Linked DNA regions of Arabidopsis thaliana. The protein of the gene in region 1 interacts with the protein of each later gene in a biochemical or structural test. Each region holds a gene or a part of one and is shown on either strand. Other genes may lie near its edges.

Evidence for each region. The genes of interacting proteins can lie anywhere in the genome.
Region 2: the proteins of ARAC9 (region 1) and ROPGEF11 form a complex in vitro, tested with the Arabidopsis thaliana proteins (one study listed by BioGRID).

Annotation. Positions count from the first base shown.
Region 1 is NC_003071.7:18,427,127-18,431,414, reverse strand, and holds ARAC9 (RAC-like 9), read right to left. Parts: upstream 2,295-4,288; 5' UTR 2,140-2,294; coding exon 2,005-2,139; intron 1,920-2,004; coding exon 1,832-1,919; intron 1,587-1,831; coding exon 1,477-1,586; intron 1,377-1,476; coding exon 1,313-1,376; intron 1,208-1,312; coding exon 1,143-1,207; intron 1,048-1,142; coding exon 982-1,047; intron 881-981; coding exon 779-880; 3' UTR 533-778; downstream 1-532. Other genes in the region: AT2G44700 (Galactose oxidase/kelch repeat superfamily protein), read right to left, coding at 1-400; CKB4 (casein kinase II beta subunit 4), read left to right, coding at 3,249-3,471, 3,566-3,784, 3,870-3,979, 4,050-4,215. UniProt on the Arabidopsis thaliana protein: Inactive GDP-bound Rho GTPases reside in the cytosol, are found in a complex with Rho GDP-dissociation inhibitors (Rho GDIs), and are released from the GDI protein in order to translocate to membranes upon activation.
Region 2 is NC_003070.9:19,454,995-19,460,000, reverse strand, and holds ROPGEF11 (rop guanine nucleotide exchange factor-like protein), read left to right. Parts: upstream 1-1,931; 5' UTR 1,932-2,122; coding exon 2,123-2,432; intron 2,433-2,553; coding exon 2,554-2,670; intron 2,671-2,763; coding exon 2,764-2,993; intron 2,994-3,081; coding exon 3,082-3,345; intron 3,346-3,432; coding exon 3,433-3,753; intron 3,754-3,845; coding exon 3,846-4,235; 3' UTR 4,236-4,492; downstream 4,493-5,006. Other genes in the region: AT1G52245 (dynein light chain LC6, flagellar outer arm-like protein), read left to right, coding at 766-903, 1,011-1,157; PSAH2 (photosystem I subunit H2), read right to left, coding at 4,493-4,672, 4,749-4,875, 4,969-5,006. UniProt on the Arabidopsis thaliana protein: Guanine-nucleotide exchange factor (GEF) that acts as an activator of Rop (Rho of plants) GTPases by promoting the exchange of GDP for GTP.

The DNA.
Region 1 (4,288 bases):
AGATCTTTGGACCAACGGCGTTCATGGAAAATCGATTAGGCTCGGAAGGATAAGGGAACTCAATGGATTCGAAGAGATTCTCGGTCGTACTGTTCTCGATTCTCCGGAGAGTGTACCAGTAGTCGTATACGGGGCGATAATTTTCGTCGATGAAGCCGATATAGAGATAATCTTTTCCGAGTAAAGATCGAGCCTTGTGAATTTCAGGCGAGCGAACAAGACTCCGCATGTTCTTGGAGACGGAGCAGAGGATTGGGTAATATCGTTTTGGGACGCGGGCTAAGATCATCGAAATGATTTCCAGTGGCAGTGACAAAAACAATGACGGCGATGCCGATGCCGATGCCGATGACGACGATGGTTGGTCGGTTTTTCGCGGTGGTTCGTTGGAGCTAGACATCGACTCTAGTTTAAAGGAGAAGACTAGAGAATTGAGATTTTATTGATTTATTCTATTTCGGTTTCGGTTATTAGCCAAAAAACAAAACCCGGTTTATTTATTCTTCGATTCTGTTTCAATCGGTTTATTTTGTTTCTTTTTGCGCTAAAACGGTTCTTTGTTGTTGTCTCTTGAACTCAAAGAAGACAAACATTGTTCTTTTACATAGACTGATAGACGAGAATTCGCTTATAATTCTGTTACAAGAATCTCTACTACAAGATCAAACTTTTATAACGAAGATAGCTAATCATACTAAAATCTGCAAGAGTCCTTCATAGAAGAAACACACTAAAAAAGATGTAAAACAAACCAAAGCCAGAGACTTGAGTACACTAGTCAAAGAACATGGCATAAACCGATCTTTCTCTTTCGCTTCTTAGTCTTTGAAGGAGGATGTAAAACTACTTTGATCGCTTCATCAAACACGGCTTTTACGTTCTGCAAATTTAGCATCATCATAAGTCTTTCTTTATCAGATTGAGGTCCAAAATATTTGGTCTAATTGTAAAATGTAACTCAAGCATTAATGGTTACTTTACCATTTGTGCTTTTGAGCTGCACTCTATGTATGCTAATGCTCCTATTTCCTTTCTTAGTTCTTGACCCTATAAAAGAAGCAATCTTTGAGTTATAAAAGAGTTTGATTCTTAACATGGTTCTTGATCATATACATTGAAGAAGAATCTTTAAAAAAACATACCTGTTCTGGGAAGATTGTGCAAGCACCTGGATAATTCTTTGGGAACTGCATGTTGTCTCTTAGATCTGCAATATCAAGAAATTCATCTTATATACTACATAACATCACTTACACATTGATGTTAGATTCCTAACATTCAAGACATAACAGAGTGGTTCATTATCTTCAACCTGATTTGGTTCCCACAAGAACAATAGGCACAGTCGGGGCATAATGTCTCAGCTCGGGTACCCACTGCGAAAGAAAACCGATCCATATGCACATGAGATCAGTGTTGTAAAGTTAAATTACAGTGAAATTAAAAGTAAAAGGAAAGATAATCTCAAGTCTCAACCTTTTTAGCAATGTTCTCAAAGCTAGGCCTGCTAATAAGTGAGAAGGCAAGAATGAAAACATCTGCTCCTCTGTAACTCAATGGTCTAACCCTATTGTAGTCTTCTTGACCTGTAATATAATGTGAATCACCCAAAAGATATATAACACAAGAATCATAATTGGTCTCATTTAAGTTTTGAAGAAACATGAGCAAAATCTGATAGTGAATTCAAGAACCAAAACAATGTTGCATCAAAGATTCAAATTTTTCAACTGACTTCTTTTAAAAGGACCAAAAGATTAGACCTTGACATATTGTTGTAGATATAAAGCTAAAGACAAGAACAACTTTGACATTAGGTAAAAGCATTTACCAGCAGTATCCCAGAGACCCAGATTGACAGTTTTACCATCGACTAAAACATTAGCATTGAAATTGTCGAACACTGTTGGAACATAATCCTGTAATAACAAGATCTCAACAGTCACCAAAAGCTATCAAGAAAAGCAATCCAAAAGAGAGAGAGGGAGAGATGGATTTATATACAGTGGGGAACGTGTTGCTGGTGTAGGAAATAAGAAGACAAGTTTTGCCCACAGCTCCATCGCCAACAGTGACACACTTTATAAACGTTGTAGCTGTTGCTGATGATGTTGATGTTGCAGCCATTGAAGCTGACATTGATTGAGAAAATTCTCTGATTTTACTTACCCTGTTCTCTCTCTTTCTGTGGTTTTATTCTGGTTCAAGTGAAGAATGAGAATGAGACTTGAGTGGTAAAAAAGGAGTCAACTTTAATTTGAGCTGTCAGAGAGCCAAAACGCCTTAAAAATAATTTTTTATTCGGTGGGTTTGATTTCTTTCCTATTTTTTGAATTTAGATAGATTTTGCCATATTTTACTTCTTTCCAAAAAAACTCTAATTGGTAACACATAGCTGTACATAACTTTTATCTGTTAACTTTTTTTGAAATAGTATAAAATTACTAAAAAACAGTTATATTAAAAAAAATGTATAAAAAAGCTGAGAGAAAAATCTTTTAGTAACGCTTTTGATAAAAAAAATTATAATTGGTAGAAATGAAAGTTGTACAAATTATAGTGCTTTGTTTTTTTCACCAATCAATGCAAATGCAAAGGTCCAAATGTTTCAGCAAAATGAAAATAAGTGGTGGTTATATCAAATCAAATTTTGTAAATTCAGTTACATTTACATGACTAATTTTACAAGATGTGTAATTTTAATTATCTCTAGATCATTTGTTTTTTTTTTCGATTTAAGTTTGGACAATGGATCGACCACCAAACACATCATCATTAACAAAGATGGAAAGGCAAGTCCATTATTACTACCGTGTTGATACAAAAAAAAATGAATTTTATGATTTCTTTCTTCCTAAGATATAATTTGGAATCATAGTTTAAGTACAAAAAAATGTTTCCTTCTACGTGAATCTTTGTATTACAACTGTCAGTGTCATAAGGCCCATCCGAAAAGCCCATTTCTAAATACTAGAATTTTAAAAAATTAAACAATGATTAAAAAAAAAAAAAAAAACAAAGAGAAGAAAACAAAACAGTAGAGAATGAGAAAAAACCACAGGGAAAAGCAGAGCACTCTTTATCTCTTCTTCTCTCTTTCTTCTACTCTGTGATCAAACTATCGAAGAAAAAACAAACCCTAGATTTATCCGCCCCTCTTCTTCCTCTGATGATAAGAAAGTCGAAGACTTTGAGAATCTAAAGCTGAAAAATTTTGTTTTTTTTCATTGAGGGAATCGAATCGAGTTATGTACAAGGATCGGAGTGGAGGAGGAATAATGGGTGGTGGTGGATCATCGAGATCGGAGATCCTTGGTGGAGCTATTGATCGGAAACGAATCAATGATGCTTTAGACAAACATCTTAAGAAATCTTCACCTTCTACATCTAGGGTTTTCACTTCTAAGGACAAAGATTCTGTCCCTTCTACTTCAACTGCTAAATCTCAGCTTCATTCTCGTTCCCCCGATGGTTAATTGCTTATATCTCACTCAATTTCAATTTCATGTGGTTTTAGTACTTTCTGATTTGGGTATTAATAAATTTTGATTCTTTGTGGATGCAGTTGAATCTGACACGGATAGTGAAGGATCAGATGTGAGTGGTTCAGAAGGTGATGATACCTCTTGGATCTCATGGTTTTGTAATTTGAGAGGGAATGAGTTTTTCTGTGAAGTAGATGAAGATTATATACAAGATGATTTCAATCTCTGTGGTTTGAGTGGTCAAGTTCCTTACTATGATTATGCACTTGATCTCATTTTAGATGTTGAATCATCAAATGGTAAGTGAAGGGTCCATTTGATGAATTTAGGCTTTACTTTGTCTGAGAATTGTTGTATAATTTGGAGGAATGTTTATTGGATTAGGTGATATGTTTACTGAAGAACAGCATGAGATGGTGGAATCAGCTGCTGAGATGTTATATGGTCTTATTCATGTTCGTTATATTCTCACTACTAAAGGAATGGCTGCTATGGTAAGCAAGATACTTCTTCTACATCTTTGTTTCTGATTGATCTTTTGAATGATATCTTTCTCTTTTGTAGATGGAGAAGTATAAGAATTATGATTTCGGGAGATGCCCCAGAGTTTTCTGTTGCGGACAGTCTTGTCTTCCGGTTGGCCAATCTGATATCCCGAGGTCGAGCACTGTGAAGATATACTGCCCAAAATGCGAGGATATTTACTACCCGCGATCTAAATACCAAGGCAGTATCCTTTGCTCCTCTGTTCAAAAAAGCTTTATCTTGTCATAATATGATGCATCTGCTATTGTTTGGTTAAA
Region 2 (5,006 bases), on another chromosome or scaffold:
TAAAAAGATTAAACACACCATTTGCATTAAAAAGTTGAGAATTCTTCAAGAACTAGCATAGGTTGCTAGCTAGATCAATGGGTCCTAAACCTTCTTAATGGGCTTATAAATCCCAACTGTTACACCGACATATTTACGAGTTTTGTGGAAGGCTTAGCTAATTACATTTTTTTTCTTTCACATGTTAGCTATTTAACTAATTAATTATGCACCTCTCCATCGTTATCCATTAAACGTCAAAGACAAAAAATACTTGGACACACGTAAGAGAGAGACACATATATCTGCTCAAATGAGTCATTACACCTTATTTTATTATACTTTTTCTTAACTGTCTTGTTCCTTTTTTTAGTCTTCAAATTATCAACTTTGTTTCTTTGATCAGCTTTGTCATCTTGAAATTATCAACGTTTTGACTAAATTTAAAGAACAGTTGTGTTCGTTCGTGCCATTCTTTTGAATGCTTATACGTACATTTCTTCTTGAAAAGACTTTGAATCCAAGAACCCGTGAGGAAGTAATCCCAGTGAAGAGAAGACGACAAAGAAAAAGGTTAGGCACATTTTCCCATATTTTTCCTCAAAGAGGAGACATTATTTATCTTTGTATGGGTTTTCTTGATAAAGATTAGATATTGAAGGAATCTTTTTTTCATTTTGTGTCTTTTAGGAGCCTATAAAGATCCAAAGCTTCCCTTGTCTTTAGTTCTCATCAAAAAAATTGAAAAACGTTTGGAGTTATTGAGAGAGAGAGAGATAGAGAAAGATGTTGGAAGGCAAAGCAATGGTGGAAGATTCAGACATGCCAGTGAAGATGCAGATGCAAGCTATGGCATTTGCTTCTCAAGCTCTTGACCTTTTTGATGTCTTTGACTGTAAATCCATTGCTGGTCACATCAAGAAGGTATTAGTAATGATTTTCTTCAATTCTATTTATAAGTCATAAATACATCATTATCATCTATATATAACTACTTGGTTAATTTTGTTTGTTCTATAATGAATTTTCAGGAGTTTGATGAGAGATATGGGAGTGGATGGCAATGTGTGGTGGGATCAAATTTTGGGTGTTTCTTCACACATTCTAAAGGGACTTTTATCTATTTTCAATTGGAGACACTTAAGTTCCTCATCTTTAAAGGCGCTTCTACTCCTTAATTACACTACCCTAATCATGGGGATGTTTTTTTTTCCTTTTTCTTTTGCTTCTATGAAAATCTGAGAAAAAAAAATCTTGCTAAGACTATCAAGATCTTTAGCTTTGTTTGAATTCTAAGTTTGTAAATAGGCCCAAGCTAAGAGAGGAAGTTGATTTCAATGATGTAAGATTTTTCATTTTTACAAGTGTTTGCTTTTGTGATCAATAAAAGTGAAATGCAGAAGATTTTTTATATTTATATTCTTTTAGTTGAGATGCAAACAATTATAATTGCCCAGCCACAAATAGAGAATTTCTTAGACTGACTTAGACTAATCTATCATTAGCATAATATAAATTTATTTTAAACTTTTACTTTGATAGAAATTCAGAGAGAGGTCAAAATTGAGGAAAACATTATCATCCATAATCCTTAATTTAGTTGAGAAACTGAGATTTTTTTAATACAACAAGACATAAACAAAAATGATATTACAGATAATGTCAGTAACATGTCCTCCCTACATCTCAATGTTTGATTTAAAGAAAAAGATTGAGATTTTTTTTATGTGTGTGGAGAAATTCAACTTTCAAATAACGTGCAGCCCACATTCCACCAAGTATCAATTTATAAATAGTAAAACATTTCAAGAAAATTAAAAATATCCTCTTATTTTTTTCCCCTGAAGAATCTGACCAAATTCACTACTTGTTTATGGTTATGGACAACGAATCATAATAGTTACTAAAATAATCAGGTTAAAACTAAAACCATTAACAGAAGTCAAATGATGGTGTTCTGTATTTGCTAAGTCTGAAATTAAAATCAAACACCGTTTTTTGGTTAATTAAGTTTGTTTTTTCTTCATGATCTCCTAAAACTCCTCTTTATTACACGAAGAGGAGAACAAATGGAGATTAAAAAGAATTTTCAAATCATAGAAATCTTTTCATTTTTTTTATTGTTTTGATTAACTAGTAATTAATGGTAAAAGCAATGGAGCAAGAACAAGAGACTTACAAATCAAGATTGTTTCATTTCAAGAACATGAACGAAAACTCAGCTTCAAGACATGTTAAAAGCTGGAGCTCAGATTGTGCAATGAGAATGGATGGTTCTGACAATTTGGATGATGATGATAATGACATGATGATGTTTAGGAGTCAACCCGGAAAATGTGGCAGCGTTGACCGACCTTCTTTGCCTATAGGCGGAGTAACGCCTAATCGCAATGACAAGCTTCCGAGAGTCTCTTCATCGGATTCCATGGAGGCACTAATAATATTGCAAGCAGGTAAAATCTAATGAACTGGCTCATATCTTCTAGGTTTCTTGGATTGCAAGTTAGGGGCAAAGTACTAATCTTGGATTATAAGTTAGGGCAAAAACTAAAGTATATGTTGTTGTTATTACAGCAATGGAGCAAATGAAAGAGAAATTTTCGAAATTGCTTCTTGGAGAAGATATGTCAGGAGGAGGAAAAGGTGTTTCATCGGCTTTGGCTTTATCTAACGCCATTACCAATCTCGCAGGTAAGATCTTTTCCCAAATCTTTCAGTTCCATGGAAATTTTCAATTTTATCACCAATTTGATGTTAAGTTCTGTAATTTTTTTGTTGTTGCAGCGTCTGCGTTTGGAGAACAACGGCGTTTAGAGCCAATGGCGGTGGATAGAAAAACGCGTTGGAGGAGAGAAATTGGATGGCTTATCTCTGTGGCTGATTATATAGTTGAATTCGCTCCAACACAACAAACAAACAAAGATGGTACTTCAATGGAAGTCATGTCAACAAGACAAAGAACAGATCTTCTCTGTAACATCCCTGCACTTAAGAAACTCGATGCTATGCTTCTCGTAAGAAGAACAAACAACAACAGCACAAAATATACTAATCAAAGGCTGTTAAATAATTAATCTCACATTTATAATCATTCTCTTGCAGGATTGTCTTGATAAATTCAAGGATCAGGATGAGTTTTATTATGTTAAAAAAGATTCTCCTGATTCTTGCGAGACAAGGAACGATGAGAAATGGTGGTTACCGGCAGTAAAAGTCCCACCTAACGGCCTCTCAGAGATATCAAGAAGGTTTCTACAGAGCCAGAAGGAATGTGTGAATCAAGTCCTTAAAGCTGCAATGGCGATAAACGCTCAAGTTCTGTCTGAAATGGAGATTCCTGAAAGCTACCTTGAGTCACTTCCTAAGGTTATTTAATAAACACATAAAAACATTCATCAAGAATCTGTTATTGATCTAGTCCTTATCGATGTTTTCGTGTGTTGTTGAGAACAGAATGGGAGAGCTAGCTTGGGAGATGTGATATACAGAATGATAACAGTAGAGATGTTTGATGCAGATCAATTCCTAATTGAAATGGATTTATCATCTGAGCACAAGATTCTTGATCTAAAGAACAGAATCGAAGCATCGATTGTGATATGGAAGAGGAAAATGGTGCAGAAGGACACAAAGTCTCCTTGGGGATCAACAGTGAGTATTGAGAAAAGAGAACAGTTTGAAGAAAGAGCTGAAACCATCTTGCTACTATTAAAACAAGGGTTTCCCGGAATCTCACAGTCCTCGCTCGATATCAGCAAGATTCAATTCAACAGAGTAATTTAAAACTCTTAACTTCCAAATACATTTTGATTGTGTTTTCTCTATGGTCATGAGAAAATCTCATTATTGGATAATTGTTGTTGCAGGATGTAGGACTTGCGATATTGGAGAGTTATTCAAGAGTGCTTGAGAGTTTAGCTCACACCGTGATGTCGAGAATAGAAGACGTGCTTTACGCTGATCAGCTTACTCAAGAACCTACAAATAATGCACCTTCTAAGAACAGATATAGCTTGAAGGAGAATGAGAAACTAAGAGAGGAAAGACTAAGTTTCACAGAGGATATGGCTTCAGGAACACTTTCTGATGTTATGCAATGGGGTAACAAAAACAATGAAATGAAGAAAGAAAGCTTTTTCGGAGATAGAGAGAAACCGTTGTTGTCGAAAGTCACAGGTATAATGACTAACAACAAGAAGAGTTCTTATCTTGATAATCTTGGAGCTATGAGGAGTCCAACCGCAAGATACTCCTGAGAGAAACCGGTTTCTTTTTTCCGTTCTTGTTAAATTAGGGCTTCTTACTGCATTTTCAATCTGCTTAAAGATTCCACAAAATGCACCATTGTGTGTTGTAGCAGACTTGAAATGCAATTTCATTGATTCATCATAACTGATTTTCAGAATCACTAGCTTACAAAGCAATTAACACAACACAGTACAATATACATAAATAGGGTTCATAGAATTGGGGAGAAAGTTTCTGACTTTTTGAAAGATTTTAGAAAGCTAATTTAAAGCTTGCCGCGAGGACCGAGCTTAGGTGGCTCTTGAGGACCTCTCTTAATCGGAAGAACATCGCCGGTAGAGTTCGCACTAACATATGTAAGCAAAGAGCCTCCTCCAAGAATCAAAAATTTGAGAAGCAAACCTCTCTTTGTGAAAGGAGCAGCAAATGTCTCAAAGAACTTGCTCTGCAAGCAACATAATCACAAAGTCTTAGAATTTGAAGAAGCATATAGATCTAAAGATTTAAGAGTGTACAAAAACCTGAAGTGGGTTATAAGGAGAAGGAGCATCAGATCCATACACATCCCATTGTCCTGTTGTGTTACCCAAATCTTCTAAATCAAAGTATACACTTTTGTCTCCATACTTAGCCACCACAGCACCAGCTCTACACAAACAATCAAAAGTAACATCCTTTCTTTAATACCAATCCTCATCAATGTCAATCCAAGATTCCAAATTTCAAAGCTTTAAACTTTACCTGGTGGATTTGGTTTTGAAGCTTTGGCGAGAAGGTTT